3 linked regions of the Stegostoma tigrinum genome follow. The protein of the gene in region 1 interacts with the protein of each later gene in a pairwise test. Links are inferred from orthologs where the notes say so. Each region holds a gene or a part of one and is shown on either strand. Other genes may lie near its edges. The genes, in order: bbln, thap11 and atp6v1d.

Region 1 (10,588 bases):
ATTAATAAAATCCAACTGGTTACAAAGCATGCTACAAGAGAACCCATTGTGTTTAATTAATGCTATACAACAAAAAAAATCGACGCTCATTTTCCCTCCAAACCCCTCCCCAAATAATGTAAGGATTCAGTCTAACTGGTGAGCAGTACAGACTTTTCTATCTGGCTGTAAGTTACTAGCAGCCCCTGAAGTACTCTTTTTGTGCTATAAACTCGCATTTACCTTCGGGTATTGCTGCTGAGCACGGTGCAGCTCTTGCTTCAGGCAGTGCCTGACCGTGTGGTACAATCCCAAGGTCCCACCCAGCACAAATGCAACACTCAGGGCAGTTTTACCAACTTTCAGACCTCCTGGTAACTTCTGCAAACCTCTGCCTTGCCCGTAGAACCTGCTGCCAGGCTGTAGTGCGAGGGCTTGTCCATTGCAAGCCACAAGCCGAGCACAAACTCTCCTCACTCTGATATAGGAAGCTGCCATGTCGACCTTACACAACCAGATTTCCTCCAGATCTTCTTAAAGGTGTACTCCGCTGAATTACTATAGACCGACCCACACACTCCACCTTTCATATACAGCCTTCCGATTTTCACCTAAGGACGTAGTTGTTCATCTTCTACATTATTATTCGAAGCAAATAATAAATTAATGATTCACTTAATTTTGGTTATACGACATAAATTATTGGCTCACTATTAAATCCCTTTTCAGGTCTAAATGTGTAGAGCTGGATGAACACAACAGGCCAAGCAGCATCTCAGGAGCAGGAAGGCTGACATTTTGGGTCAGGGCCCTTCTTCAGAAATCTTTTTTTCTGAAAAGATTCATTGGGTTCAGCTTTCCAGCTCCTAAGATGCTGCTTGGCCTGCTGTGTTCATCCAGCTTCACACCTTGTTATCTCAGATTCTCCAGCATCTGCAGTTCCCACTACCTCAGATCTAAATGTGTTTTCCAAACAACCCAATCTAACATGTGCGTCTTCTAATCTTCTAGTATCATCACCTTGGAAATACTACCTTCTTCTGAGGGACACAATGAATAAAGGCCAAAACAGGCAAATAAAAGAAAACTTGATGAATTAAGTCAAAACTTTATTAGAATGTGCCATCTTACAATAAAAGTCAAATACAACCAGCTTAGTGAACATGCAAAATGGGAAAACTGGGAAGTCATATGGCCTGCTCTGCCACTTGATTGGATCCTCTACCTCAATTCTACTGCCGACTCTATCCCCAAATCCCTTGATGACCAGGCAGCAATGATCCTCAAACATTTTTCAGGTCAAAAGGCATTTTGTTTAAATGACATATTAGTTCTAGATCATTATCTACAAGATATTACTATTTTTAAAAATTCATTCTTTGTGATGTGGACATCACTGGCTAGACCAAGTATTAAATGGCTGTTTCCAGTTGCCTTCTTGAGCCGCTGCAATCCTTCTGCTGTAGGTAGACCCTTAATGCCCTTAGGGAGGGAATTCTAGGATTTTGACCCAGTGACTGTGAAGGAACGGCAATATATTTCCAAGCTAGGATGGTGAGCAGCAAGTTCTTAAGGAAGGTCCCTGGACTTGAAACATTAACTCTGCTTTCTGTCCACAGATACTGTCAGACCTGCTGACTTTCTTAGAAACTTCTGCTTTTGTTTCAAGTTCTGAATCCTGATTACTAACTTAGATCTTTAAATCTTAGCACATGTGATGGGGCTTAACAGTGTCAGCAACTTTGAGAGAAAGGTGGCCAGTATTTTCTTTGGCAATTGAGGTTAAGAAATTGATATATAATAAAGCATATACACCCAGATCAGGCCATTATGGCCCACACATGACAGAGAGTTATGTAATCAAGCACCACACCACAGAGATTTGAATTCAAAATCCAAACCAAAAATTGAGTCTGTCTCCATAGCCCTGCATTTCTCATGGCTAACCCACCTCGGCTGTACGTCCCTGGTCACTATGGGCCAAAATAGCATGGCCATCCACCTAAACAGCGCATCTTTGGACATCTCCACCCTGACCACACCGCTTTCAAAACTTCCTTTTGCTTCCAGAAGTGCAGTCCAGACTAACGTGTGAGGGAGAGAAGACTCGGCTACAGCATAGTTTAAGAGGCATCCGGACAAACACATAAACAAGGCAAGGATATGGACCATGTGCAGGCAGATGGGATTAGTTTTGAGAGGCATCATGGTATTTGAGGCATCGTGGGCCAAAGGGCATGTTTCTGTGCTACAAGGCGTAGAGCTGGATGAACACAGCAGGCCAAGCAGCATCAGAGGAGCAGGAAGGCTGACGTTTCGGGCTGAGACCCTTCTTCAGAAAACTGTTCTATATTCTATGACCCTTGGGTTCAAGACTCGCTCTTGTAGATTTTTATTTTCTCATCAATCTGTTCAGCAGAGTTATATACCTATAGGGGACTTCAACTTTCCAAATACTGACTGGGAACACTACAGTTCGAGTACTATAGATGGGTCAGTTTTTGTCCAGTGTGTGCAGGAGGGCTTCCTGACAGTATGTAGATAGGCCAACAAGGGGCAAAGCCACATTAGATTTGGTACTGGGTAATGAGCCTGGCCAGGTGTTAGATTTGGAAGTAGGTGAGCACTTTGGTGATAGCGATCACAATTCTGTTATGTTTACTTTAGTGATGGAAAGGGATAGGTGTATACCACTAGGCAAGAGTTATAGCTGGGGGAAAGGCAATTACGATGAGATTAGGCAAGATTTAGGGAGCATAGGATGGGGAAGGAAACTGCAGGGGATGGGCACATTAGAAATGTGGAGCTTATTCAAGGAAAAGCTCCTGTGTGTCCTAGATAAGTATGTACCTGTCAGCAGGGAGGAAGCTGTAGAGCGCGGGAGCCGTGGTTTATGAAGGAGGTGGAATCTCTGGTCAAGAGGAAGAAGGCGGCTTATGTTAGGATGAGATGTGAAGGCTCAGTTAGGGCGCTTGAGGGCTACGAGGTAGCCAGGAAAGACCTAAAGAGAGAGCTCAGAAGAGCCAGGAGGAGACATGAGAAGTTGTTGGTGGATAGGATCAGGGTAAACCCTAAGGCTTTCTATAGGTATTTAAGGAATAAAAAAATGACGAAAGTAAGATTAGGCCCAATCAAGGATAGTAGTGGTAAGTTGTGTGTGGAGTCAGAGGAGATAGGGGAAGCACTAAATGAATATTTTTCAATAGTCTTCACTCTAGAAAATGACAATGTTGTCGAGGGAAATACTGAGATACAGGCTACTAGACTAGGTGGGATTGAGGTTCACAAGGAAGAGGTATTAGAAATCCTACAGAGGGTGAAGATAGATAAGTCCCCTGGGCCGGGTGAGATTTATCCTAGGATCCTCTGGGAAGCCAGGGAGGAGATTGCCAAGCCTTTGGCGTTGATCTTTAACTCATCATTGTCTGCAGGAATAGTGCCAGACGATTGGAGGAAAGCAAATGTGGTTCCCCTGTTCAAGAAGGGGAGTAGAGACAACCCTGGTAATTATAGACCAGTGAGCCTTACCTCAGTTGTTGGTAAAGTGTTGGAAAAGGTTATAAGGGATAGGATTTATAATCATCTAGAAAATAATAAATTGATTAGGGATAGTCAGCACGGTTTTGTGAAGGGAAGGTCGTGCCTCACAAACCTTATTGAGTTCTTTGAGAAGGTGACCAAACAGGTAGATGAGAGTAAACCGGTTGATGTGGTGTATATGGATTTCAGCAAGGCGTTCGATAAGGTTCCCCACAGTAGGCTATTGTACAAAATGCGGAGGAATGGAATTGTGGGAGATATAGCAATTTGGATCAGAAATTGGCTTGCTGAAAGAAGACAGAGGGTGGTAGTTGATGAGAAATGTCCATCCTGGAGACCAGTTATTAGTGGTGTCCCGCAAGGTTCGGTGTTGGGTCCACTGCTGTTTGTCATTTTTATAAATGACCTGGATGAGGGCGTAGAAGGATGGGTTAGTAAATTTGCAGACGACACTAAGATCGGTGAAGTTGTCGATAGTGACGAAGGATGTTGTAGGTTGCAGAGAGACATAGATAAGCTGCAGAGCTGGGCTGAGAGGTGGCAAATGGAGTTTAATGCAGACAAGTTTGAGGTGATGCACTTTGGTAGGAGTAACCGGAAGGCAAAGTACTGGGCTAATGGTAAGATTCTTAGCAGTGTAGATGAGCAGAGAGATCTCAGTGTCTGTGTACACAGATCATTGAAAGTTGCCACCCAGGTTGACAGGGCTGTTAAGAAGGCGTACAGTGTTTTAGCTTTTATTAATAGAGGGATCGAGTTCCGGAACCAAGAGGTTATGGTGAAGCTGTACAAAACTCTGGTGCGGCCGCACTTGAAGTATTGCGTACAGTTCTGGTCACCACATTATAAGAAGGATGTGGAAGCTTTGGAAAGGGTGCAGAGGAGATTTACTTGGATGTTGCCTGGTATGGAGGGAAGGTCTTATGAGGAAAGGCTGAGGGACTTGAGGCTGTTTCATTAGAGAGAAGAAGGTTGAGAGGTGACTTAATTGAAACATATAAAATAATCAGAGGGTTAGATAGGGTGGATAGGGAGAGCCTTTTTCCTAGGATGGTGATGGCGAGCACGAGGGGGCTTAGCTTTAAATTGAGGGGTGAAAGATATAGGACAGACGTCAGAGGTAGTTTCTTTACTCAGAGAGTAGTAAGGGAATGGAACGCTTTGCCTGCAACGGTAGTAGATTCGCCAACTTTGGGTACATTTAAGTCGTCATTGGATGAGCATATGGATGTACATGGAATAGTGTAGGTTAGATGGGCTTCAGATCGGTATGACAGGTCAGCACAACATCGAGGGCTGAAGGGCCTGTACTGTGCTGTAATGTTCTAAAATTCTGAGTAAAGTACTGTGAGAGTGCATTGGAGGCACAATACTGTCTTTGAGGTGGGATTTTAAACCAAGGCACAATCAGATAGCCATAAAAGATTCCACGCCACTATTTTGATGAACAATGAAGAAGTTGCATCAGTGATTATGGATGATAGTATAAGGTAAGGTTGGAGGTTAGATAGACCTTAGGTTTAGGGTAAAACTTTGGCACAACCTCGTGGGCCAGAGGGCCTGTGCTGAGCTGTACTGTTCTATGATTAGTTATTAAATAGATGCGTGTTTGAAGACGCTGTGGAAAACACTGAAGTCATGAAAGATACAATATAAATGCAAGAACAAAAACAAAGTTGCTGGAAAAGCTCAGCATCTGTGGAGGAGAAAACAGAGTTAACGTTTCGGGTCCGGTGACCCTTCCTCAGTCACTGGACCCAAAACGTTAACTCTTGTTTTCTCCTCCACAGATGCTGAGCTTTTCCAGCAACTTTGTTTTCGTTACTGATTTACAACATCCGCAGTTCTTTTGGTTTCTATTATTGCAAATGCAGGGACATTTTATATCATCACAAAAATTGAGGCAATTCTAATTCGTTACCTACTGTTTCAGTTTACTCCGTTTTCATGTTTTGCTTTCTGCAAATCAATTTATAATGTTATGATTTACCCCTTTAACTGTGTATAAATCTGTCCACAGATTGCCCAAACGAGCCCTATAATGGAAGGCTTCTTCTGTGCCTGTCATCATTTTATTTTAAAGAAAAAGGATTCAAGTTATACTTAGAATTGAAAACAAAAATTGTCGTGTTTTATCGGGGGTGGGTGTTATAATGGGGAGAGGTGGAGAAGATTGATTAAAGGCATTTCCGGGACACGTGTTATTGGGGCCTTGAACAGCTGAGAGTTTGTTACATGTTAAGGTCAGGGGTGAACGGGGCAAAGTTCGGGATCGCGGCGTCTGTTCCTTGATTCCGGTCTCAGCTTCAGCAACATGTCGGGGCCGAACGGGGAGCCGAGTGTCACTGTGGGGCAGCAGCAGCAGCAGGAGGAGGAGGATGAAGCGTCTGAGGAAGGTAAACCCCAGGACAGGGATCCGACCGGACCCCCACGCAAATAAATCGCATTCACTAGATCCAGCTCCCTGCCTATCTCCCGATTCGGACTCAACCCCATCCCCCTCAAAACCCTTTAATAGGACACTCCCCCCCCCCGCCTCCAACTGGACACCTTCACGAAGGCCCTGAGACGGGCTTGGGGGTGACCTTATACCAATATATAAAGTCATGAGGGGCCTGGATAGGATGAATTGTCAAGCTCCCAAGGCTATGGGAGTCCAAAACTAAAGAGCGTAGGTTTAAGCTGAGAGGAGAAATATTTAGAAGGGACCAAAGGGGCGACTTTTCAAGCAGAGGGTGGAGCGTGTGTGGAATGAGCTGCCAGAGGAAGTGGTGGAGGCTGGTACAATTACAACATTTAACAGGCATCTGGTTGGGTATATGAATGGGAAGGATTTGGGCCCAATGGGATGAGATTTATCTAGGATATCTGTCGGTATGGACAAGTTGGACTGAAAAGTCTTTTGTTTGCTGTACGTCTCTGTCACTTTCAGCATTCAGCCTTCACTTTGCTTATTCCCCCGAGGGTGTGCTGTATTTGTTGGTGAAACCTTTCAGATGAAAATGTTATCTGACTGAAATCCAGTCAATGATGAAGAGTAGAACAATACTAATCCCTGATATCCTGGTGAATGTTTACTCTCCATTAACATTAAGTTGTTGTGTGATGTTCCCCAACCCCGCACTCCCACCTCATTGTTCCCCAACCCCGCACTCCCACCTCATTGTTCCCCAACCCCGCACTCCCACCTCATTGTTCCCCAACCCCGCACTCCCACCTCATTGTTCCCCAACCCCGCACTCCCACCTCATTGTTCCCCAACCCCGCACTCCCACCTCATTGTTCCCCAACCCCGCACTCCCACCTCATTGTTCCCCAACCCCGCACTCCCACCTCATTGTTCCCCAACCCCGCACTCCCACCTCATTGTTCCCCAACCCCGCACGGCCCGTTTCTATCTCCTTCCCAAAATCCACAAACCTGCCTGCCCTGGTCGACCCATCGTCTCAGCCTGCTCCTGCCCCACCGAACTCATCTCCACCTATCTGGACTCCATTTTCTCCCCTTTGGTCCAGGAACTCCCCACCTACGTCCGTGACACCACCCACGTCCACCTCCTCCAGGACTTCCAATTCCCTGGCCCCCAACACCTCATAGTCACCATGGACGTCCAGTCCCTGTACACCTGCATACCGCATGGAGATGGCCTCAAGGCCCTCCGCTTCTTCCTGTCCCGCAGGCCCGACCAGTCCCCCTCCACCGACACTCTCATCCGCCTAGCTGAACTCGTCCTCACACTCAACAACTTCTGTTTTGACTCCTCCCACTTCCTACAGACTAAGAGGGTGGCCATGGGCACCCGCATGGGCCCCAGCTATGCCTGCCTCTTTGTAGGTTACATGGAACAGTCCCTCTTCCGCACCTACACAGGCCCCAAACCCCACCTCTTCCTCCGGTACACTGATGACTGTATCGGCGCCGCCTCTTGCTCCCCAGAGGAGCTCGAACAGTTCATCCACTTCACCAACACCTTCCACCCCAACCTTCAGTTCACCTGGGCCATCTCCAGCACATCCCTCACCTTCCTGGACCTCTCAGTCTCCATCTCAGGCAACTAGCTTGTAACTGATGTCCATTTCAAGCCCACCGACTCCCACAGCTACCTAGAATACACCTCCTCCCACCCACCCTCCTGCAAAAATTCCATCCCCTATTCCCAATGCCTCCGCCGCATCTGCTCCCACGATAAGACATTCCACTCCTGCACATCCCAGATGTCCAAGTTCTTTAAGGACCGCAACTTCCCCCCCAAAGTGATCGAGAACGCCCTTGACCGCGTCTCCCGTATTTCCCACAACACATCCCTCACACCCCGCCCCCGCCACAACCGCCCTAAGAGGATCCCCCTCGTTCTCACACACCACCCTACCAACCTCCGGATACAACGCATCATCCTCCGACACTTCCGCCATTTACAATCCGACCCCACCACCCAAGACGTTTTTCCATCCCCACCCCTGTCTGCTTTCCGGAGAGACCACTCTCTCCGTAACTCCCTTGTTCGCTCCACACTGCCCTCCAACCCCACCACGCCCGGCACCTTCCCTGCAACCGCAGGAAATGCTACACTTGCCCCCACACCTCCTCCCTCACCCCCATCCCAGGCCCCAAGATGACATTCCACATTAAGCAGAGGTTCACCTGCACATCTGCCAATGTGGTATACTGCATCCACTGTACCCGGTGCGGCTTCCTCTACATTGGGGAAACCAAGCGGAGGCTTGGGGACAGCTTTGCAGAACACCTCCGCTTGGTTCGCAACAAACAACTGCACCTCCAGTCGCAAACCATTTCCACTCCCCCCTCCCATTCTCTAGATGACATGCCCATCATGGGCCTCCTGCAGTGCCACAATGATGCCACCCGAAGGTTGCAGGAACAGCAACTCATATTCTGCCTGGGAACCCTGCAGCCATATGGTATCAATGTGGACTTCACCAGTTTCAAAATCTCCCCTTCCCCTACTGCATCCCTAAACCAGCCCAGTTCGTCCCCTCCCCCCACTGCACCACACAACCAGCCCAGCTCTTCTCTTCTCTTCCCCCCGCCCCCCCCGCATCCCAAAACCAGCCCAACCTGTCTCTGCCTCCCTAACTGGTTCTTCCTCTCACCCATCCCTTCCTCCCACCCCAAGCCGCACCCCCATCTACCTACTAACCTCATCCCACCTCCTTGACCTGTCCGTCTTCCCTGGACTGACCTATCCCCTCTCTACCTCCCCACCTATACTCTCTCCACCTATCTTCTTTACTCTCCATCTTCGGTCCGCCTCCCCCTCTCTCCCTATTTATTCCAGTTCCCTCCCCCCATCCCCCTCTCTGATGAAGGGTCTAGGCCCGAAACGTCAGCTTTTGTGCTCCTGAGATGCTGCTTGGCCTGCTGTGTTCATCCAGCCTCACATTTTATTATCTTATATTCAAATTGTGTGGTGTTTCTTGCATTTAAACAGTGACCACACCTGAAAACTACTTGTTTAAAGTGCCATAGGATGTCCAAAGATTGTGAATGTAAGTTGTTGTGTTGTCATTGATACTAGCAGTCTTTAGTGCATTGCTTCCCAGATTTCTCCCCCCCTGAGTGACAGCAGAGTGGGTTACTGCTGTGGATTTGAGAGAGCACGAGCCTGTTGAAGCTGGAGCAAAGCTGCTATAATTTAGTCAGAGTTCTGCAATGATCATTGCTGCTTGTAAGCCATTTGGAGTCCCAACCCCCTCTTTGAGAAGTCCTGCATCAGGCTAATATAGATATCTTTTAGTTTCTAGCGAATATCTTTGCTAGATCAAGTAGCTCTAAGCCCAACTGTCTTAATACCTTGGGAGATGAAAAATATACAAATAAAAATCTTATGTGGAGAAAGGCAGAGCATAAATGTGTGTTCCTTTTTGTTTTGTAACTAGTTCTATTGACTGTGATATGTTGTATCCTTCACCTCACTTCCACCCTCTTTTGGCAGAATACGCTGCACTCAATTTGATGCTTGACCAGATCAACTCTTGCTTGGACAACCTTGAGGAGAAAAATGATGTTTTAAATGCAAAACTTCGAGAATTGCTGGAGTCAAATCGCCAGGTGAGGATGGAATTCAGGCAACAAGTCCAGGCACCAACCCCAAAAGATTCCCAGGACTACAACTCTCAACTTTGATCACTGTCTCTGTATCAAGCTGTAATATTACATGTCCTGCTTAAGCATTTTAAAAGCAAATGTTAATTAGCTGTAACCATTGCTAGTCTCTTTACTTTCCTGTGACCGAAGCACTGTAGTTTTAATCAGTGAGTTGCAGTTCTACCTGTGATAACTTTATTTACTTTTGACCACTTCCTATTGGTTTTGGCTTTGAAATTCCTGTTCCTTTTAGGAGGAAGCTCGTTTGTAACAGATGTCATGTTGTGTATCTTCCACTTGCGAGTTGCAATAAGAAATTCTATTTCAGTGGGATTCAAAGATCTAAAAAAGGTGAATGTTTGACCTGATGGGATACCTGAAGTTCATCTGGTTAGTCCTACTGATTTGGAGAAGGTCAAACCACATGATCATGCCTCCACTGGGAAAAACAATATTTTTTTTTCCTCTAAGTAGCAGTTCAGAGGGTAACACTCACTCTCTTTTTCATCTTGAATCACAAGGTTGTAGATTCAAGTTCCAGACCGGAATGTCAACACAAGAGACTGATGTTCCAATGTAATACTTTAAAAGTTCTGCACTGACAGAGGTGCTGTCTCTCAAGTTTTAAGCTGTGGCCCTGCCTTCTCAGGTGGACAGCAATTTCAGAGTCTGAGAGTTTTTCCTTGTGGGCCAACTAATATTTATTCATTAATCAGCTTCAGTTTGTCATTTACTGCATTGTTGTTTGTAGGAGTTTGCTGTGCGAAAATTAGTGCTCTATTATCCACATACAACACCAGTGACTATATGTCAAATGTGTCACTGGCAGTCAGGCAGTTCGGGGCATCCAGTGATCATGAAAAGGGCTGTATAAACACAAGTCTTTTCCTTAATACAACTTTTTCTTGAATTTGTAAATTGAATTTTAAAAACAAAATGACAACCTCTGCCAACCATTCTGTGT
Region 2 (10,117 bases), on another chromosome or scaffold:
GGCAGAGCAGACTACTACTGATTGCCTACTCTTGTTCCTTGTTTGTATGTTGAAGTAACCCTTATAATCAATCGTGATTATATTAAAATAAAGGTGATTACAGTAATACAATAGTTACAAAATTAAGACACCGAAAGGTTTAGTCTTTTAAATTGGTCACTCAAACCCTGAATAAGATTCAAAATTTATTATTTCAGTGTGTGTATTGGCTTTGTCAAACTGTGGGCCACTTTACTTCAGTGAGTCTTTATTATTACAGAAATGAATAGTGAAAGTTAACCCAAAGGCTACCTCGTCATTGTGACCACATCAAGTGGAGAAGGGGACCTTAAAAAAAATCTTATCCCAACCTGCATATTCACCATGTTAATATTATACTTCACATATTGGTGAGAAATCTTTATAATTACCATGTTTCATACTGTTGATACGTGATGTTTGACAGTGAAAGCTCAATATTTGTGACAATGCTGCTGCATGCTTATGAAGAATTAACTTGTAGTTAATTACTAGGTTGTTCTGCTCCCAGTACAGAAATATGTTTCTTCTCTTAGTCATCATCATTTATTTAAATGTATATATAAATTTACAAGGATGCTGCCAGTACTGAAGGAACTGAATTATAGGGAGAGGTTGGACAAGGGACGACTTTTTTATTTAGCGTGTAGGAGATTGAGGGATGATCTTATAGAAATGTATAAGATTGTGAGATACATGGATAGGGTGAACACACTCTCAGTCTTTTTCCCAGGATTGGGAAATTGAGGACTGGAGGGCATCAGTTTAAGGTAAAAGGGAAAGAATATATGGGAACCTGAGGGGCAACTTTTTAACACAGAGGATGATGTGCATGTGGAACGAGCTGCCAGCATAAGTGGTTGAGGCGGATATGTTCACAACATTTAAAAGGCATTTGGATGAATACATGGATAGAAAAGGTGTAGAAGGATATGGGCCAAGTGCAGGAAATGGGGTTAGCGTGGACAGACATGTTGGTTGGCATGGACCAGTTTGGGGGAAACGGAGTGTTTCCATGCTGATGGACTTTGTGTCTCTATCATTTGGTATTCTTATCCTTTTGTGAATGTTATCAGAACTTAATGAATGTTAGTTGTTATCAAAATGTAAACTCTAAACAGAATGAGAGCTGTAAAAACTGTGTATTATAACCAGAATCAAAGAGGGGTAACAGTGAAATAGAGACTTTGTTTTATTTGAACAGGACTTAATTACAGCAAGTGATTAGTTAGCTTTAGAGACACTGTCAGTTTAAATTGAACTCACTGGCAGCAACTGTTTATTTTAAATGATATATATTCAATTTATCACTGTTGCTGGCATGGTAGAAAAATGACTTTTATTTACATAGCACCTTAAAGTGCTCTGGACATCCCAAAGCATTTTACAACCAATGATGAATACATTGAGAATTAAGAGGCAGAACAATATAGGTCAAAAGTTAATAAAGTTGATTGTGATGGTTATACTCATGGCATTTGGCACACCATGAAACATCCAGGTAATCAGCTACAGATTATTTCAGACTAATGCTGCAGTAATGATGTCACAATCATTAATCCTTCAAAGTGAGACTCCTCACTTAACAATTACCGCCACTGGAGTCAGTATTTTAAGTCATTAAAATAAAAACAGAAGATGCTCAGAATACACAGTAGCTCAAGATTGCATTTGAAAAGAGAAAAAGCAGATTCTGATATGTCAGATAGATGCCATTTTTTCTGAATAATAATAACACTATCACAAATGAGCTAGTCCATGAGTCCAAATGAGTTGGCCAACAGGATGAAAGAGAACAATAAAATTAGCCATTGATGAATAGAACCTCTCTGGAACTGACTTTCTGAATGTTTCAGAGATAATGGGAACTGCAGATGCTGGAGAATTCCAAGATAATAAAATGTGAGGCTGGATGAACACAGCAGGCCAAGCAGCATCTCAGGAGCACAAAAGCTGACGTTTCGGGCCTAGACCCTTCATCTGAATGTTTCAGTGCTTTCCAAAATTTGCATTCAAAGATGTAAATATTTCTACTGAAAACCACTGCAACTTTGAAAATTATAACTTAAAAAATCCTTCTCTCCAGCAATATTTTGTGTCTGATGTAGTTACCGGGGCAGGAAGATAAAATTATTTGAACTTTGTTTCAATCTTGTTATCCAAATTCTCATTAAGGGTAATGATTTGTGTTCATCAGCAGATATCTGTTAATGCTATTTATAGCGTCAGGTTATTGAAATAATTATTTGCAATTTTACAGTAATTCTTCAAGGTGCAAGGTGTTCACTATGCAGATTAAGTAGTGTACTGTTGTAATATTTGGGAATCATTTAAGATCTAGCCAACAACTGATAACCATTTTAATTATTTGTAGGTTTATGAAATTGTTGTTTATTTCAGTATGAGAGATGAAAGCAACGTTGGCATTATTTGACCTGTTTGAATAAACTTAGTACATTATTGTGAAGAACTTTCTGTAGTGATTACATGATAAATTACTTATTCAGCATTCTGTTTAACTTTTGGAATGTATTTCTGTGAAATTTCATTTAGAATTGTGTTTTTCAAACAGTAAATGACTGAAAAGTTTTCACTTTATAGTTATAGTGCTTTATAGAGGTGACGTAAAAAATGGATACAGAGCAAAAGAAGGAAGTATTAGAAGGGGTGACTGAAAGGTTTTTTAGACCTATGTTTAAAGGAGGGATTTAGATGAGGAAGGTCAGTTGGAGAGGTTGAGGAAGAGAATGCCAACACCAGCCTAACCAATATAACTGTTTGAGAGTATTTAAGTATTGTTCTATCTCTTTGTTTGTTTGTGTTTAAAGTCTCACAATTGTATTAAAAACACTAAAAAAGTAAAAATCTTTTAAATCAATTTACAAAGTGTAACCATGAGAGGATTTATTATACTTTTTATGGTTATTGTTGTACAGTAACTTAATGTAGAGGGCAATATACAAAATAATAGGGAACTACTAAATTTATAGCATCATTATAATGGAACAAAAACATTGATTCGTAACACAGAATACATTGGATTGTGAATGCACTGTTGCTCGAGTGGAATTTGGACCTTTTGTGGTGCCTTGTTGCTTCACTACTTCCTAAAGTTAATTTTAGTACTGCATCCATGCAGAATGTCCCTCGGATTTGACCTGTCGTATGAAACACCCGGTAACTAGGGGTGCATATCGTTTGGGATGCGCGCACACACACACACACAGATTAAGCAAGTGGTCTCACACTATTTTATCACATCTGAAATATCACACGAAAAGTCCTAACATCCTGTGCCATGACGGCACATGATCCTCGTATTTGTCTTTTTTTGTTAAATTCTATTCTTCCTCGGGTTCGGTAGCTGCGAAATGTTTGTGTAATATATATAATATATATATTATTTATAAAACAGGCAGTCACATTCCATGTTTCTTCCTGATGACCGACATGGACAGTAATTTCTCCTTATTCCTCAGCTCCTCCCGCAGGATGGCCTCGCTGACCTTCAGTTGCCGGATGGTGCCTTTCATCTCCTTGATCTTCACCTCCATCAGGGCGATAATGTCCTTCTGCTCGTTGAGTTTCCTGAGCAGCTCCTCGGAGGTGGTGGTGGAGGAGAGTGAGTAGGAGTGATCTAGGCACTCGGGAGCCTCGGGGCGAGGGACAGCGGCGGCGGCGGCCGGGAGGGAAGGCGAGGACGAGGAGGACGAGGACGAGAAGAAGTAAGGTCCGGACAGGTCGATGGGCTTGACGTCCTCCTGGCCGGCGGCGGCTGCCGGCAGCTTCTTGCGGGAGCGCCTGATCTTCCTCTCGTTGACCCCTCGGAGCGGGAAGATGGTCGGGACCTTGACTGAGTAGGTCTTCCTGCCCCCGGGGAAGTGGGCGCTGCACACCCGGTGTCCGGTGGTAGGGTAGAAGGTGCTGAAGCAGCCCGACACTCCGGTGCGGGAGATGTTCTGAAGCCAGAGTCGGCGCTGCTCCTCATCCTTGGGGAAAGTGTAGAAGCGGAGCTCCCGGTCCCGGTGCGAGTTGTTGTAGCAGCCGGGCACGCAGCAGGTGAAGCCGGGCATCCTGCCGCTACGATCCCCAGGGCCAGCGCTGCCCGAGAGGCCTCTTTAATCGCAGGCCTGGCTCCCCGGACTCTCCTGTTCACACAATGCCCCCTCTTCCCCACTCAAATCCCCCCGGGTTTATTTATTTTCCCCCCAAACACCGAGTTGGCTGCAAAGCGCAGGCCGCGCGGCGGAACTACATCTCCCAGGGTGCAGCGCGACACACACAGCCACTTCCGGTCAAACAAAGAAACTGCTGCGAAAAAGGAGCATTAACTTTCAAAAATAATGAATGCATCGTTGAAACATCTTCGCACGTTTCTGCTGATTTGTATATAGTTATTATTACAGCAATCAACACTCACAAATTCCACTTAGTGTTTCCATTTTATTATATATTTTGCATCGTACCATCGCATTTTTGTGTTACTGTCACTCTGCACCCAAAGCAATAGCATTTTATTATACGAAAATAAGCGAGAGCTTGCTACCAAAGTTCACAGAAATAGCTAAAAACTGCATTTATAAATGATGTAAACCAGACCGTATATTTTATCTATTTTGTTCACAGGAGGTACATGACAATCCTGTTTGAAAATTGATCAATAAATTAATTTTACTGATACAAAAACAAAATTGCTGGAAAAGCTCAGCAGGTCTGGCAGCATCTGTTAAGGAAAAAGTTGAGTTAATGTTTAGGTTCCGATTACCCTTCCTCAGAATTGGATCATTTTGAAAGAATCACTGGACCCGAAAAGTTAACTCTTGTGTTTTTCCTCCACAGATGCTACCAACCTGCTGAGCTTTTCCAGCAACTTTGTGTTTGTTCCTGATTTACAGCATCCACAGTTCTTTTGGTTTTTAATTAGTTTTACTGATGATGTTTATCACATTTAAGGTGTTATCTCAAAGCTTTTTTCCGATTGAAATTTTGAAAATTGTGGTTGAACTCATCCACCGCCAATAAAGTTACAAAAGTCAATTTCTGCCAACAGTAGAAGTGATATCAGTGAAAGTGACTATGATGTGGGTGAGCCGGTGTTGGACTGGATGAACAAAGTCAGAAGTCACACGATAGGTTTATTTGAAATCACAAATCAGGTGAAGTGGCCACAGTCCCAGACTCTCATTAGAGAGAGAGAGAGACAACTATTGGTGCGTTTAACCTGAGGGTCACCATGCCTCAGTCAAAGGGTCAGTTCAGGAAGGTGGAACCTTCACATGATCTAAGCTGACGCAGGAATTAAACTGACGTGGTTGGTAACACTATGCATGATAAACCAGTTATCCAAACGACTGAGCTCACCAACTTCAAATGGTAGATTTGCCAATGGAAGATGAAGTTAATGCATAGTTGTTGAAGATAATTGTGCATCCTGAAATTAACATAATTGAAAAAAAATTAAATTTTTAAGTATGCCATCATCTGATAAAAAACTTCTTTATTTTATAAGAAAACACTCCCGTCTCTTACAAATAACAAAGAAGATGAATAAACATGAGGCTGTATGTTCATCCACCTGCTGTTTACAGGATGTGCAGAGCCCTTGGGTTTGAAAATTATTTTATTAGTAGAAGGACAAGTATCCCGCAGTATAATTTTAAACAATCTATTCTGAGTATGCATGGAACTTTTTAACAGTGCATATCACATTGATTTCAAATCTCACTGTAACTCATTGGAATTTAAGTATAGGTAGTGTGACAATTTATAGGCTGGCACCAAATGAAATAATCATGAAAATGCTGCATTATTGTAAGAATTCTAATAACACTCATGTTCTGTCTGGATCCATACATTTGTTGCTTTGAGGGCAACTATGACTAGGTGAAAAATGTAACATTGCTCCTATTCTGAGGACAAATTATGTATATACTATATATTTAATACTAGTCTGTCAAAGAAGTGGAAATATTTATTTACTGTGATCATGATAACCATTCAGGACTGCCAGCAGGCTAGCATCCCATGGATTCACAATTTGATCACAATATTTTGCACGTCGTTGCTTAGTCGGCTTAACATTAGCTCCACATTGTCAGACAGTATTGTTCAAGCTAAAACCAGAACCAGTAATTGTTTTAATATTTTTAATTTACACAAAAATTAATTCTGGAGAATCAGTTTTTACAATTATTGATACTGAATATTTAAAATTTGCCTTGAGATTTAAATAAGTCATTTTGTAATGGAATTATTTTAACTGAGATGCCAACAGACATAATGGGCCCTTTGTTTTTATCGCCAAATTTTGTCTCATTGCAACAAGATGGAAACAAAAGGTTAAAATGAGGGAACTGCAAAATCTCAATACTTGGCTTCATTTATACGCCTCCAAGGTTGGGGGTATGTGCATTCGTCTAATCTTCCTATCACGGATATTCTGCAGCACAGAAGGAAGTGATTTTCCTCATTATGCCTATGCCTGCTTTTCAAATGAGCATTATGACATTGTGCCATTCTCTCACTTTTTTCCATACACTTCACATTGTTTCTATTCAAATAATCAGCTAATTGTCTCTTGAATGCTTTTCTTATACCTGCTCTAATATACTTTGATGCAGTGCATTCCACTCATTGAGTAAAAGTCTTTTCCTCACTTCCCATTTGCAAATCACTTTAACTCTGTGCCCTGTCATTCTTGATCCTTTACAAATGGAAACAGTTTCTTCCTAATTATTGTATCCATACACTTGCGGTTTTGAAAGCTTCAGTTAGATCTCCGCTTGGCCTACTTCCCTCCAAGGACAACAGTCCCAAATTCTCCGAGCTGTACTCATAACTGAAGTTTCTCTTCCCTGGAACCATTTTTGTAATGATGTTCTGCATTCTTCTTCATGTGCATTCACACCCTTCCTACAGGTAGGTACCTAGAACTGCAAAATTACTTCATCAGGGGTTGAACAAGTATCTTGTATAATTTCAGCAAATTGCCCCTGCTGTTGTATTCCATGCCTCTATCAAATAAAGCTCGGGTTACTGTAAGATCAGAGATAGCAAGAGCTGCTGATGCTGGAGTCAGAGTCAACACAGTTGAGCTGGAGGAACATAGCAGGTAAGGCAGCATCAGACGAGTAGGAAAGTCAACATTTCAGTTCGGGACCCTTCTTCAGAACTGGGGAGGGAGAAGGGAGCTGGGAAATAAATAGAGGGAGGAAGGATGGGGCTGGGGAATGATAGGTGGGATGGTGGTAGGTAGTTGCAAGTGGGGGAGTTGGGATTGATCAGTGGGAAGGGTGGGAAAGAAGATGGGCCAGTTGTGTCAGGACATGGAGGTCGGGATGAGAGGGAGGTTTGGACATGGGATGAGGTCAGGGCTGGGGAGATTTTAAACTTGGTAAAGTCTGTGTTCAGGCCGTCGGGCTGTAGGCTCCCGAGGTGGAATATGAGCTTTTGTTCCTCCAGTTTGCGTGTGGTGTCATTGTGGCACTGGAAGAGGCCCAGGATGAATATGTCATCAAGGGAGTGGAAGGGGGAGTGAAAATGGTTAGCAACTGGAAAGTGTTGTCCATAATCACATATAGAGAGCGCAGATGCTCCATGAAAGTCTGTGCTTGGTCTCTCCGATGTGGAGCAGGAGCAACAAATACAGTAGACCAGGCTGGAGGATGTACTAGTGAACTCCTGTCTGATATGGAAAGCTCACTTTCGGCCTTGGATGGAGATGAGAGAGGAGGTGTAGGGCAGGTGTAGCACTTCATGTGATTGCAGGAAAAGGTGCTGGTGTAGTGGAGAGTGTGTGGAGGGGATGAGGGAGTCGCGGGTGAGCGGTCTCTACAAAACGCAGATAGGGGTCTCCTCTCACCCATGCCCCCCATATAAGAATGTGATCCCTTACACCTAATTCCTCCACCTCCGCCTTATCTGTTGCCAGGATGGAGCGTTCCACTCTTGGACATCCCAGATGTCCTCAGGACTGCAACACCACACCCCCCTCCCTGTGATTAAAAATGCCCTCAACCACATCTCTTGCATTTCCCACACTGCTGCCGTAAAACCCTCTTTCCCCCCCAAACAAAAATAAAGACAAGTCCTCCTAGTCTTCAAATACCACCGCACCAACCTCTGCATCCAACATATCATTCTCCACCACTTCCGCCACCTACAATCCAACCCCACGACCAAAGAGTTTTTTTCCCTCCTTACCCCTATCTGCCTTTTAACTCCACCTCCCAATCCTGGGTGACATGTCCATCCTGGGCCACCTCCGGTGTCACAATGATACCACACACAAACTAGAGGAGCAACACATATTCTGCCTCAGGACCCGACAGCCCAATGGCTTTAACATTGAACTTCTACCACACAGATGAAATAATCTGGATGTAGGTTTGCTTGCTGAGCTGGAAGGTTCGTTTTCAGACGTTTCGTCACCAGTACCTCAACCTGAGCTACAAATCTTCTCAAAACTCGCTAGATAAAATAATTCCAGCAATCCTAAATGTACCATTTCACCAACTCTCTTGTGCCTCAACTCCTATTGTGTTATCAGCCTGGATAAGTCACAATTAATCTAAGTTAAAAATTGGACAGAGCACTGTGCATATTGTTGAGTTCTCAGAATAATATCCCATCTGAATGCAGCAGCTTCCAGAATGCAGCACTCCATTTTCAGGTTCTGTAGAAGGGTTTCAGATTTGAAATGTTAACCCCATCTCTCTCCACAGTGGTACTGCTAACTCTTTGAGTTTCTTCAGCAATTCTGTTTTTATTCACTCATTATCCTAGGTTGTACATTCAAGTTCCCTGAATTCTGTAAGTTAGGTTTCCGGGAGTATAAGGTCAGATGTACGCACACATCATACTACATCATCTCTTAGTTTGTTCCATTCTATATATAGTCAAAGGCAATGTAGAAGACTTGATGTAACATGTTGATAAAGGCATTGGACATAAATTGAAATCATGACACTTCTGAACTTTAATTTTCCCAGCAACAACAAAAGACAATCAACTGGCACTGAGGTATCCATCTTGACATGATGTTTTGCACTTGGAATATGGTATACCATTGTGCATCCTGGAAAATAACCTTCATTAAGTCGTTCCAGCTTCTGGGTTGATGTCCTGAATGATGAAGCAGTACTTCTGCCAGGTGTGGATGCCTAGAATCACAGAATCCCTACAGCATGGAAGCAGACCATTTGGCCCATCAAATCTACACTGAAGAGCATTCCACCAGACCAATTCCCTAACTTATCCCTGTAACCTTGCATTTCTTATGGCTAGTCCGCCTAACCTACACACCCCTGGACACTATAGGCAATTTAGCATGACAGATCCACCTAACCTGCACATCTTTCAACTCTAGGAGAAAACCAGAGCACCTGGAGGAAACCCATACAGACACCAGGGAGAACTTGCCAACTCCACACAGATGGTCGCCAGAGGATGGTATCAAACCCAGGTGTCTGGCACTAAGAGGAAGCAGTGCTAATCACTGAGCTGCCGCGTTGCCCTATTAAAAGAAAATGAAAGAAGTTTATTGAGTTGCAGGTATAATTTAATGAATTTGGTCAAACCCACATTAAAGCATATTGGTCATTTTTAACAATCTCAATCCTTATAAAAGTATAATTTTTAAAATTGGGTTGTCAATCCTTCATCATTGTCCTGAGGTTTCCAGGAAATAAAGATTAATCTCCTCAAGACTGGCTCAAGGAACATGCAAGAAAATGTCACAGATGCAAGAATTATTTTCACATTTTCTTTAAACATTTTAATTTATTAATTAAAAAGGTAACGAATTGGAGGAAAGGATTGTTTTACTGAGTGGACCATTGCGAGGTGAGAGCTCTTGATCCCTCCTGGAATATGTCCAACAAAAGCCAGCAATCCTAGATCCTGCAGTTTTGGGAAATTAATTAAAGTAGTGTGAAATAGGTGAGGGAGTGGCCCAATATGAAGAGTATTTCTTTTAACAGCGACGATAGTTAGAACATGTTCTTTGTCATGGGTAGAATCTATAAGTCCTTTCCAATGGAATGAGTTAATTGCATTATTTAGTGAATATTAATGAGTATTAAACAGATAAGTAGTCCTC
Region 3 (10,490 bases), on another chromosome or scaffold:
GATGTTCTGAGGTTCGGTGTGGACTTGTTGGGCCGAAGGGCCTGTTTCCACCCTGTAGGGATTCTAATTCTAATTCAAGCAGAGATGTATGATCAGCTTGATCATACTGAAGGGAGAAACATGCCCGAAGGGTAGAATGGTCTTCTCCTGCTCCTATTTTCTATGTTTCAAGATGACCTGCCCCCACAATCCTCTGCCAATGTGTGTGCGTGCGCGTTGGCCACAAAGAAGTGTGCAACTCATTATACCACCTTAGTGCGCATGCTCAACAGAAACATCTAATCAGGAAAACGGTGATGTAATGCCACACGTCCATTCAACAGAGCCGCAGGCTAATATTCTGGGACATGGATTTGAATATCACCATAACAGATAATGAAATTTGAATTGTGTTTTTTTAAAATCAAAATCTAGAATTTAATGCTAGCTTAATGGGAACTGTGTCAAAATAGACAATGTTTGTAAAAACCCATATTCACTAACAGCCTTTAAGAAGGAAATCTGCCATCCTTACCATGACTGGCCTACACTGTCTCTTTGGTACATAACTTTGTGATTAACTCTTAACTGAAGATGACCTAGATGGGCACACAGATCAAGGGTTCAAAGGCAATTAACAATATACAACAAATGTCAGCCTTGGTAACAATGCTCACACCCTGTACAACAGCAAAATACATTGAGCTGGGGGTCAAGACTGTAATCATCTATTGCATTTCTCGTGACATCCTACTTCACTAAACAAGATGATTCTGTTTCCCTGGTTGACAGCACAAAACATAGCCAAGATATCGTGCACATAAATAAAGTGTGGTTAAATGAACACAAGTAGAAATCAAATAGAACTGACAATGAATGAGCAGGACTGCTGTGTTAAAAACTGCAATAACATTGCTAAATGTGTGTTGTGAGCTTAGGAGAAAAACCAAATAGTAAGGTTTAGTTAAATTTATTATAATTGTTCCTTGAAAATAAATTTCACCTCTATAATCTTCTTCAGGATTTGTCTGAAGCGAAGTGTAAGGGCATCAGACTTTTTCTTCAGTAGGTTGCGACCAGTCTGAGCACCTTTCAAACGGGCCTTCATTATAGTTTGTGCCCTGTGGCAAATGCAAAAAAAGGTTAGGTTTACTTCTTCTGCCCACTCATTTCTTTGCATGAGCAGGAACCCTTCCACTGACAGAAAGACGTGACATTTTTGCTCCCAGTTTTCATTTTGATGTGTTAAGAAAAGGTCATTCATGTTTCTCTTTATAAAGATGGGAAGAGCCTGTTTGCTTCAGTGCACGTAGGAAGCATTTATGCTTCTAAAAAGAGGAACAATGAATGGCTTTAGCTTGCTAAATAAATAGATGGAGCGGTCTGGTAGTATAGTGTAATGTTCCTACCTCCGAGTTAGAAAACCCAGGTTTAAGTCTCACCTGCCTCAAAAAGGTGTTTTATAACAATGACCAAGCAGATGGACTTCAATTTTATTTTAAGAATGGATGAATAATTCCAAGTCTGAGCCAAACCTGGACAATAGTTCAATAACAGTTAAGGGAAATATTTAACTTGGGCCAGTTCACGACACAAACATACTTGACATCAATCATTCAATTGGATATCTTACAAATGCAATACGAGCACAACAATATTTAATATGACAGATTAACAACATGTAGAACAAAAGGATTTATTCCCTCCAAACCAAATATTTCAGGTCAAAAACCTTTTTCAATTTTCAAAACCTGTGTTCCAACAGCACCATTTTTAAATTGAATCCATGAGGTAGAGTTTTGCAACAAATATAACGGAGTTGTCCAGACTTAGTGAAAATTTGGCTATGGAAATTTGTTCAGCTACCTGATTCTATCACGTATTAAACTCCCCCAAACCAGTTCCTGGTGTCAATGTACACACAACTGTTTATACAAAATATTTATTCCAAAATGTTCTTTTTTTCTATTAAAAAAGGTCACTGAGGACATCAAGTAAAAGGAGTTAGATGTTAAATATGGCCCCTTTCACATTCTCATGACAGTATCAAAGCAGCTTGGACTTATTGTCAAAGCTCTTTCACATGCTATGAGCAGGTGCAGAAAATAGTCAAGAAGACTGACAGAATGCTGGCCCTCATATCCAAAGGGCTGGAGTATAAGGGTGCAAGTGTTATGCTACCGTCATACAAAACCTCAGACCCCACTTAGAGATCTGAGAGCCGACTTGGGCACCCCACCCTAGGAACATTGTCTTGGTGCTGGAGGTAGTTCAACACAGATTTATATGGATGATACCTGGATTTCAGGGGTTCAGTTACGAGAAGGGGTTGGACAAATTAGACCTTTATTCTCTAGAACCTAGAAAGTTCAGGGGTGATCAAGATGGGGTTTTTGGAACATTAACAGGGAAAAACAGGATAACCCTATTTCCAATAGTGGAACATTCTCAAATCAGTGTGCATAGTCTAAGAAATAGGACCAGGCCATTCAAGAGAGAGACGCTAGAAAACACTTCTGCACACAGTAGAAGGCTTTGGAACTCTCTTCTTCACATGGCAGTCAATGCTAATTCAACTGTCAATTTAAATTGGACATTGTCAAGGGATATGGGCCCAATGCAGACATATAGAGTTAGGCAATGGTCTTATTGAATGGCCTATTCCTGTTCCTATTGGAGTAGTGTGTTCAATTCTGGGCACTTTATTTAAGAAAGGATGCTAAAGCCCTGGGGACACTGCAAAGCAGGTTTACTAAAATGACTGCAGAGATAGTAGGAAATGCCGATAGTGGATAATCTGAGATAACATGGTGTAGAGCTGGATGAACACAGCAGGCCAGGCAGCATCAGAGGAGCAGGAAAGCTGGCATTTCAGTTCGAGACCCAAAACGTCAGTTGTCCTGCTCCTTTGCTGCTGCTTGGCCTGCTGTGTTCATCCAGCTCTACACCATGTTATCTTATATTACCAGATTGATAACAGGAATTAGAGTATCTAGACACAAGGCAAGATTAGATAAATTGCGCGTATTCTCCTTGAACAGAGAGGATTAAGATATGACGTTATTGAGGCGTTCAAAATTTCTGCTAATTAGTATGTCAATGGCTCAGTCACAATTTCAAGATTGTCAGCAAGGCAGCTAGGAGTGAGATGAGGAGAAACTTCTTTATTCAGTTGTTAGGATTTGGAATGCTCTCTCTGGGAGTGCAGTGGAGACAGATTCCATAGGTTTCAAAAGACAGATGGATATATATTTGGAAGACAGGAACTTTTAGGGTTTTGGAGATAGGGCTGGAGAACAGGACTAGCTGACTAGATCTTTCAGGAACTGGTACAGACACTATGGAATCAGTGATTCTATAATTTACTTATGGATAGGAAATTAAAAGACTACCTCAGATAACAAAGTGTAGAGCTGGATGAACACAGCAGACCAAGTAACATCTCAGGAGCACAAAAACTGATGTTTCGGGCTCTCTGACGAAGGGTCTAGGCCCGAAATGTCAGCTTTTGTGCTCCTGAGATGCTGCTTGGCCTGCTGTGTTCATCCAGCTCCACACTGTTATCTTGGATTCTCCAGCATCTGCAGTTCCCATTATCAAAAGACTACCTCATCTGCTTTTAGTGATTATTACAGGACACTAGCCAGAACTACCCGCATTTGTGAACTCGCAGACAAGCCTGAACTGTTATTCCATTCAAGAAACAGTACTTCCAACAATGCAGCACCCCTTTATTATTCTGCTGAAACACTAGATCAGTTACATTTCAGATCCTGCAGTACGGTTTGAATTCACCTCCTCTGTAGGTGTGCTACCACAGCATGTGGATGGCCACTTATCAGTATAGACAATTACTATATGCTATACTTTTACAACAATGCATCTGAGAAATTATTCCCATGTATGGCAGTTAAATAATTTTGGTAAAGGGGGCTGTGAAGATGGCCAACGTAACAATACCAACTTTTCCAAATCAGACAGAATGTAAAAGTTGGAAACAATGTGCTGTGGGTGAATTCCAAATTCTGGCAACATTAATTATCAATAAAGTATTCCACAGCTGCAGAAGAGCTCATAATTATTTCTACCATGTTTGAATTATTACCATTTCATAATCTCACAAGTATTGGTGTATTATATAGTATGTCTAATAAAAATTGTTTAGAGGACACCCATCCCTTATTGTCTACCTTTTTCAAAAATCAAAAGTCAATCAGCTTGAACATTGTAGCCATTGAGGGTGACATGTATTTCAAAAATCTTCACAATGCAGCTAAACAAACAAATGTTTAGTTTGTCTTTCCATGTTATTGTATTCAACACGTTCCTAAAAATTCAGCAATATGTAGTGATTCATGCATTTTTTGTAAGAGATTTCTAATTGCAATGCCAATTTTGATCCAATAATGGATTGCGAAATTTTGGAATCTGTCATGCAAATTGGGCACCGTTGCATTAATTATCTGTCTGTGTTATAATCTCCGACTGACACTCTCAATTTTTATTTAGTTTCGACTGTAAAAGTTCCTTTATTTGGAAATAGTTCGATGATTCAGGAAGAAATGGGCCAGCACTTTTAAACGCAGTTTCATTCCAACAGCCCTTCACCTGAGCCAAAATTTAAAATGCTAAACTTTAAAATTTCCAGGTCGGAGCACTAAAGCAAAAGTCAAACTTGAGATGGCTAAAAACCGTAATCAAAAATCTGACACTCACATTCGCGATGGGAAGATCTCAATCCTCTCCTTGCCTGACATGTTTGGCTATTTCTTGAGGTGGGGGGGGGGGGGGGGGGGAAGATCCAATAGCTGGTGGAAAAGATGAAAATCTTTGCAATCGACAAGGAGTGTCCCGTGACCTTCAGCAGGTTGTAAGGCTAAGCCCTAGTGGGGCTACTTCCTCCTATAATTTTCTACTAACTTTCTTCGGTCGACTCGAGCAAATTGTTGGTTTCCACGGATCAGCAGCTGGCAACATCACGTGACAGGGCGGAGGTGACCTGTGACCTCCCTCACCACCGGGTTAACCGTCGTCCAAATATTCTAGATGGGGATTTTAATTTTTTTAAATGAAGTATCTCTTAGTGTTGCTGTTTGCTTCGCCAATTCCATATCTCACCGTTTTATCTCGCTGTTATTAACTATCTACGATCCTTTACCAAGATGGCGGCGACACGTCGTTACACCCGGCTGCCCCTTCATTTCCAGTCCTCCGTCAATACTAGAGAGCGAAAACCTAACAAAGCTATCGTGCAAAAGCACAATGTGTGTGAGTCGCGTCTAATGAATGAATGCTACAAATCAAGGCCGCTCCGCGATATCGATCGCGACTTCCAAGGTTACTTGGAGTGACGTTTCACTCCGCCCTCCTCTCGGCTTCAGGTCGCAGCTCCGCGCTTGCGCAGAAGCGGGGTTTCTGGCGAAGGGACGTACTTGCGCTGCGCACGAGAGATTCTGCGGTGCAGAGATAGTAGGAGCTGCAGAAACGTTAGCTTTCCTGCACCTCTGATGCTGCTTGGCCTGTTTTCTTCAGCCAGCTGTACACCTTGTTATCTCAGATTCTGCGGTGCAACGTGAGGATAAACATTGCCGCGCCTGCGCAGAATAAAGCGTGCGCCGTAACAGTTACGGAAAACGGCGTCGCGCCTGCGTAGAAAAGTAATTGTGGGAACAACGGAAATAGCGCGAGTCGGAGTGTGGGCCTGAGGTGCTGACCGTCCTCGTTCGCAGCAGCGCTGCCTACAGATTCTGCTCAAGTAAGTGAGTCCCAGTGCTGTCCTCATATCGGGAGCCGCAGTCCACCCCCCACGCCACTGATTCGCTGGTTAAGGCGGATCTAGATTCCGGCCCAATGCCAGCATGTTTTATGGTCATGTCGGCTCCTCAACTCGGGCTTCACCTGCGGGCCCATCCGGGCCTCTCTCTCTCTCTCTCTCTCTCTCTCTGTGTGTTTTTTTTGTGCGGCCTCTTTCTATCACTCGTGCCATTTTTCACTCCACTTTAAAGCTACCACCTGGAATGTGGCAGCTTCCAGGGTGGTGATGTCCCCACTTCTGACCCAGCAGATCCAGGTTGAAGTCCCATCTGTTCCAGAGGTATTCCACGAACAGGTTGATTAGAAAATAATTACAGCCACTGTGATTAAACTGAGGATTCTTGAAGTTCACAGATGGAAGGTACTTTGATTGCATCATTCTTAAAGTGAAATCCCAAGGGATGAAAGGCCTTAATATTCACTTCGTGATCAAGGAATTTCTTTTCTATCTTTGCTGATTTAGGAATTGAACTAGGTTTGGCTTGAAGTTCATACTTCTGTCAGACTAGGTATTTGGAATTAAAGTTTTAAAGAGATCTTCATTATGTCACGAGTAGGATGAAGTATTCAAATGAGGTATGACTGCATTATTGCTGACTGCTTTTCAGTTTTCTAATTTCTTTGTAGATAGATATTTTTTTTTATTAGCCTTGTCCAAATCTGAATCCTTGTCCTGAAGCTATTTACATGAAATAAAGTACAGATGATCATTATTGAAAATAGCATTGAAATGAAAATTGTACCATGAAGTATCAGTTGTGTCACAAAAATGGTCAGATTAATTGTCAGTTTGAACTGATATATGCAATTAGTGTTGGCTGGAGGCTGCTGTTGATTTCTGATTGAAGTTTATTGAGACATCTGAAGCCTGCCTCAAAATATGTTCTTAGGTGTTGATTCATGGCTCCATTGTAATTTCTTGTTTGGTGTTGGAATAATTACATGTGCAAGTCTCCAATGGCAGATTGGAAACTTCCTACAAAGTGTCAATATCAAACTTTATTAGTACTGTTGATATCTTCTAATCAATCTGTTCAGAGATGTCATTCCACACATAGAACCTAGGCCCACACCTTGACTTAGAGGTAGGTACCTCCTAAGAGTCCCATTGTGGTACTTTATTTTAATCAAGCTGCTCAGATACATTATGACACACATCTGAAGGATTGAAGCTGGGCCTCCTGGCTCTGAAGTAGGGACAGTGCCTTCCACCAGGGTGTCCAGTCTTGTTTCTTTATATCCTGGGGAATTAATGGAATTCAATTCATATGCATGGTCCTATCAGCAAGTTGTCCCTTGGCTTCTTCTGTGTTGGGAATGGCAGTCTGCAGCCTTGTTTAATCAAGGTGAGACTCTGCCTCATGGGAGTAAAATTGAAACTGTGGGCCCAGTGGAAATCCAGCTTCTAGTGGCATCTTTTACATCTGAAACTTTGCTGTCAGAATACTCTGCCTTTTTGCTCCCATGGAAGCACCAGGGCTTGATCTGTTGTATTACAAGTGTAGTTTTGTTTTGGCATCTTGCACTGGCCTTGTGGGCCAGAAAGCTTGAATTATGAGGAAAGGTTGGATAGGCTTGGGTTTTCATTGGAGCAGAGAAGACTAAAGGGCGATCTCATTGACGTGTACAGGATTATGAAGGGCATGGATATAGTGGATAAGGAACCACTGTTCCCCTTAGTTGGAGGGTCAGTGGTGAGGGCAGAAGGTTTGAGAGATATGTGGAAAAAATCTTTTATCCATAGGGTGGTGACAGTCTGGAATGTGCCTCTTTGGAAGGTGGTAGAGACAAATTGCCTCCATGCTATAACAAGTACATGGTTCAGTACTTGGCATGTCAGAACGTTCAAGACTGTGGGCTAACCGCCAGTATTGGTTCAGGCTCGATGGGTTGAACAGTCTCTTCTGCTCTGTTTCATTCTGTGACCTCATGATTTGGTGTTCATCTTTTTGAGAATTTAGGCTTGAGAGTTCAGAAACATTTCCACTGAGCAAGAGAAGACTAAGAGGTTAAAATTATGAAGGGTTGCGAGGCAATTTGGCCAACAGCTGTTTTAAAATCTGGGTCAGTTGTAGGAGGACATCAATTGAAATGAGTTCGGCAAGTTAGGATAAACTTGCAGGAACTTGCCCTGCTCTGACACAGAGCAGTGAAAGCAGAAGCCAGTGCATCTTTTAATGGAAGGGAAAAGTATTAGAAGAGATGAGATTTTGAGGATAAGTGTAACTAATGGGATGATTTTCAATTATTCTAGCAGTAAGCTAGGTCATGAAAACACACCTTCATAGGTAAATTCCTGTGGTTCCAAATTCTCTCTAACTCTTTCCCTCACCATTAACAAAGAAATTTCACGTAAAAACACTAGTCAGTGCAATGTACAATATTCAAGCTTCAGTACTATATCGATAGAATCAGCTGAAATTTCACTGTTATCTCAAATCTTAAGTTGTTATTTAACTAACTCCTCCTAAATTCTTTCCCTCAGATCATAGGGGAAGTTTTATAGTTTTACTGACATGAATTGCTCCCAGTTGTGATAACCTAAACTTTTTCTGTTCTATCAACTTGGAAATTTCTATCCAAGCTCTTCTCAATTGGAAGCACCACACACTAAATTCTTCAGCTATAGTGATTGTTTCCTTGAACGAAAAGCTTGATTCTCCACCTTTAGAGAAATTGTTTTCTGTTTTGAACTGAACTCAAAAACTAAAACTGATGGCTTTCTGGTTAGTTGTAAACACAACAGTATAAATGTTTCATCTATTAACATCACAGGGATTCTGTCAGGCACTTGATTAAAGTCACACGTTGCCTTAATTCATTTATCTAGCTGCTAATCCAAATGAGTTTTTTGCCCTTTTTAAAATGATTATGTTCACAGAACTGACCCTGTTTCTGTTTTGAAATCAAAGTCCCAGAATTTAATATTTATATGAACTACACGTTTCATCGTACAAATCCCATTATTTTGCACTGAGCAGACAGCACATTGCTCTGTCTGATCCATATATGTTGATACAACCAGGAAGAGGCTTCTTGATCATTTTTCACCAGTCATTGAGATCATGGTTGATCTGTGATCTATTTCCTGCCTTTGCCTCACCTCCCTTAACACTTTTGATGAACAAAAGTCTGTCAGTTCCCATTTTAACATGCATATTTGATTGCGCACCAATTTCCAAATTTTCTCAATTTCTGCCACTTTGTGTTTGGAAATGTTTCCAGATTTCACTCCTAAGTTTTTATGATCTAATTTTTCAACTAGGCCTCTAAATCCTGTATTCTGCATCCACCAGAGATGGTGCATGTTCAAAAAAAACCAGCTTCTACCTATACAAATTGTAGGACATGATGTGCTTTTATGCTTTGATCAGCCAATGATTGGTTTCTTTCTGGTTTGTTTAGCTCAACTTCCTACTGATTGAACTCATCCCACTTCATGGAAGTGGGATGCCAGCATATTTTAAACATATATTCTGTGCCATTCCTTAATATGAAGTAATTCTGAACACCATCCAGAAGTATTCAGCAGAGTTGTAAACAAGGGTCTAGACCCGAAACGTCAGCCTTCCTGCTCGTCTGATGCTGCTTGGTCTGCAGTGTTCATCTAGCTGTATACCTTGTTATCTCAAACTTCCTGAAGTAACTGGATTAACTAAAAGAAAATTTTGTTTTATGCTTTTATACATTACTTCAACATTTCAAAAAGCACATTCTCTGGAATCTAAAGCATTCTGCAATGATCTTCTGAATTAAAGAAATTTTTTTAATATTGTTGGGTGTTGGTCTCCCTTTTTTTGTTCACTTGAAGTTACCAGGCTGAAATGAGCTATATGTACAGTTAAACTGAAATTGCGTGGTGGGTTTTTAAGATCTCTTATTGTTTTATCCTCTCCTCGATTATTCTTTTACAATTCTGTTGGTTCTGCACATTTTTACGCAGTCTAGCGATAATACATTGTCTGCTCTTTCTGGTGTGAAATACCAAAGTGTAATTTGATTTCTTCTGCATATTTCAGAATGCCAGCTCTTAGTTGTCGGTTTTACCAACACAAGTTTCCAGAGGTAGAAGATGTGGTGATGGTAAATGTCCGCTCCATTGCGGAGATGGGTGCCTATGTCAGCCTTCTAGAATATAACAACATTGAAGGCATGATTCTTCTAAGTGAACTTTCAAGAAGGCGTATCCGATCTATCAACAAACTGATTCGAATTGGTAGAAATGAATGTGTTGTTGTAATCCGAGTCGACAAAGAGAAAGGTATGCATGTTGTGCAAACTATCTTGTCATGTTTTTAGATTCAGGAATGGCTCACCATCAAGATGATAACTGGGACGTCAGCAGTAGTTCATTCTTTTTGTTTACTAGTCTCTGACACACTGGTTGTGCTTTTTCTTCTGAGGCATCTGGTGAGGGTTCAAAACCCACTGGGGAGCTTGAGGTCAAAGTCTAGAGTCCTGGTGCAGTGTTTCATTGCAATTTGGATCAATCTTTAAATGATGGCCCCAGCTGCTCTCTTGTAGATATTTCGGCTCCAATAGTTTTGGGAGAAGAGCAGGAATGTTCTTATAGATCATGTTTATCTCCTGGCAATTCTAGCAAGCATGTTTCTGTGTACATTGGTCTTTTGTGCCTACTTCAAAATAAATTGCTTGTTAGGCTGTGATGAGAGAGGTCTAAATAAATCAGTTATTTT

What was found.
Region 2: the proteins of bbln (region 1) and thap11 interact in a two-hybrid assay, tested with the Homo sapiens proteins (2 studies listed by BioGRID and IntAct). The link is inferred for Stegostoma tigrinum from reciprocal best matches to the Homo sapiens genes BBLN and THAP11.
Region 3: the proteins of bbln (region 1) and atp6v1d interact in binary tests that used the Homo sapiens proteins (3 or more experiments, as listed by UniProt). The two-hybrid records come from large-scale screens. The link is inferred for Stegostoma tigrinum from reciprocal best matches to the Homo sapiens genes BBLN and ATP6V1D.

Annotation. Positions count from the first base shown.
Region 1 is NC_081382.1:41,781,246-41,791,833, reverse strand, and holds the start of bbln (UPF0184 protein C9orf16 homolog), read left to right. Parts: upstream 1-5,742; 5' UTR 5,743-5,833; coding exon 5,834-5,915; intron 5,916-9,472; coding exon 9,473-9,663; 3' UTR 9,664-10,588. Other genes in the region: ptgesl (prostaglandin E synthase 2), read right to left, coding at 223-477. UniProt on the Homo sapiens protein: Essential for intermediate filament organization in intestinal cells, interacts with intermediate filament and regulates intestinal lumen morphology.
Region 2 is NC_081369.1:18,232,307-18,242,423, forward strand, and holds thap11 (THAP domain-containing protein 11), read right to left. Parts: upstream 4,271-10,117; 5' UTR 4,092-4,270; coding exon 3,438-4,091; 3' UTR 1,341-3,437; downstream 1-1,340. UniProt on the Homo sapiens protein: Transcription factor, which has both transcriptional activation and repression activities. Also modulates chromatin accessibility.
Region 3 is NC_081363.1:69,339,456-69,349,945, reverse strand, and holds the start of atp6v1d (V-type proton ATPase subunit D), read right to left. Parts: upstream 5,296-10,490; 5' UTR 4,737-5,295; coding exon 4,696-4,736; intron 1,101-4,695; coding exon 983-1,100; intron 1-982. Other genes in the region: eukaryotic translation initiation factor 2 subunit 1, read left to right, coding at 9,814-10,054. UniProt on the Homo sapiens protein: Subunit of the V1 complex of vacuolar(H+)-ATPase (V-ATPase), a multisubunit enzyme composed of a peripheral complex (V1) that hydrolyzes ATP and a membrane integral complex (V0) that translocates protons.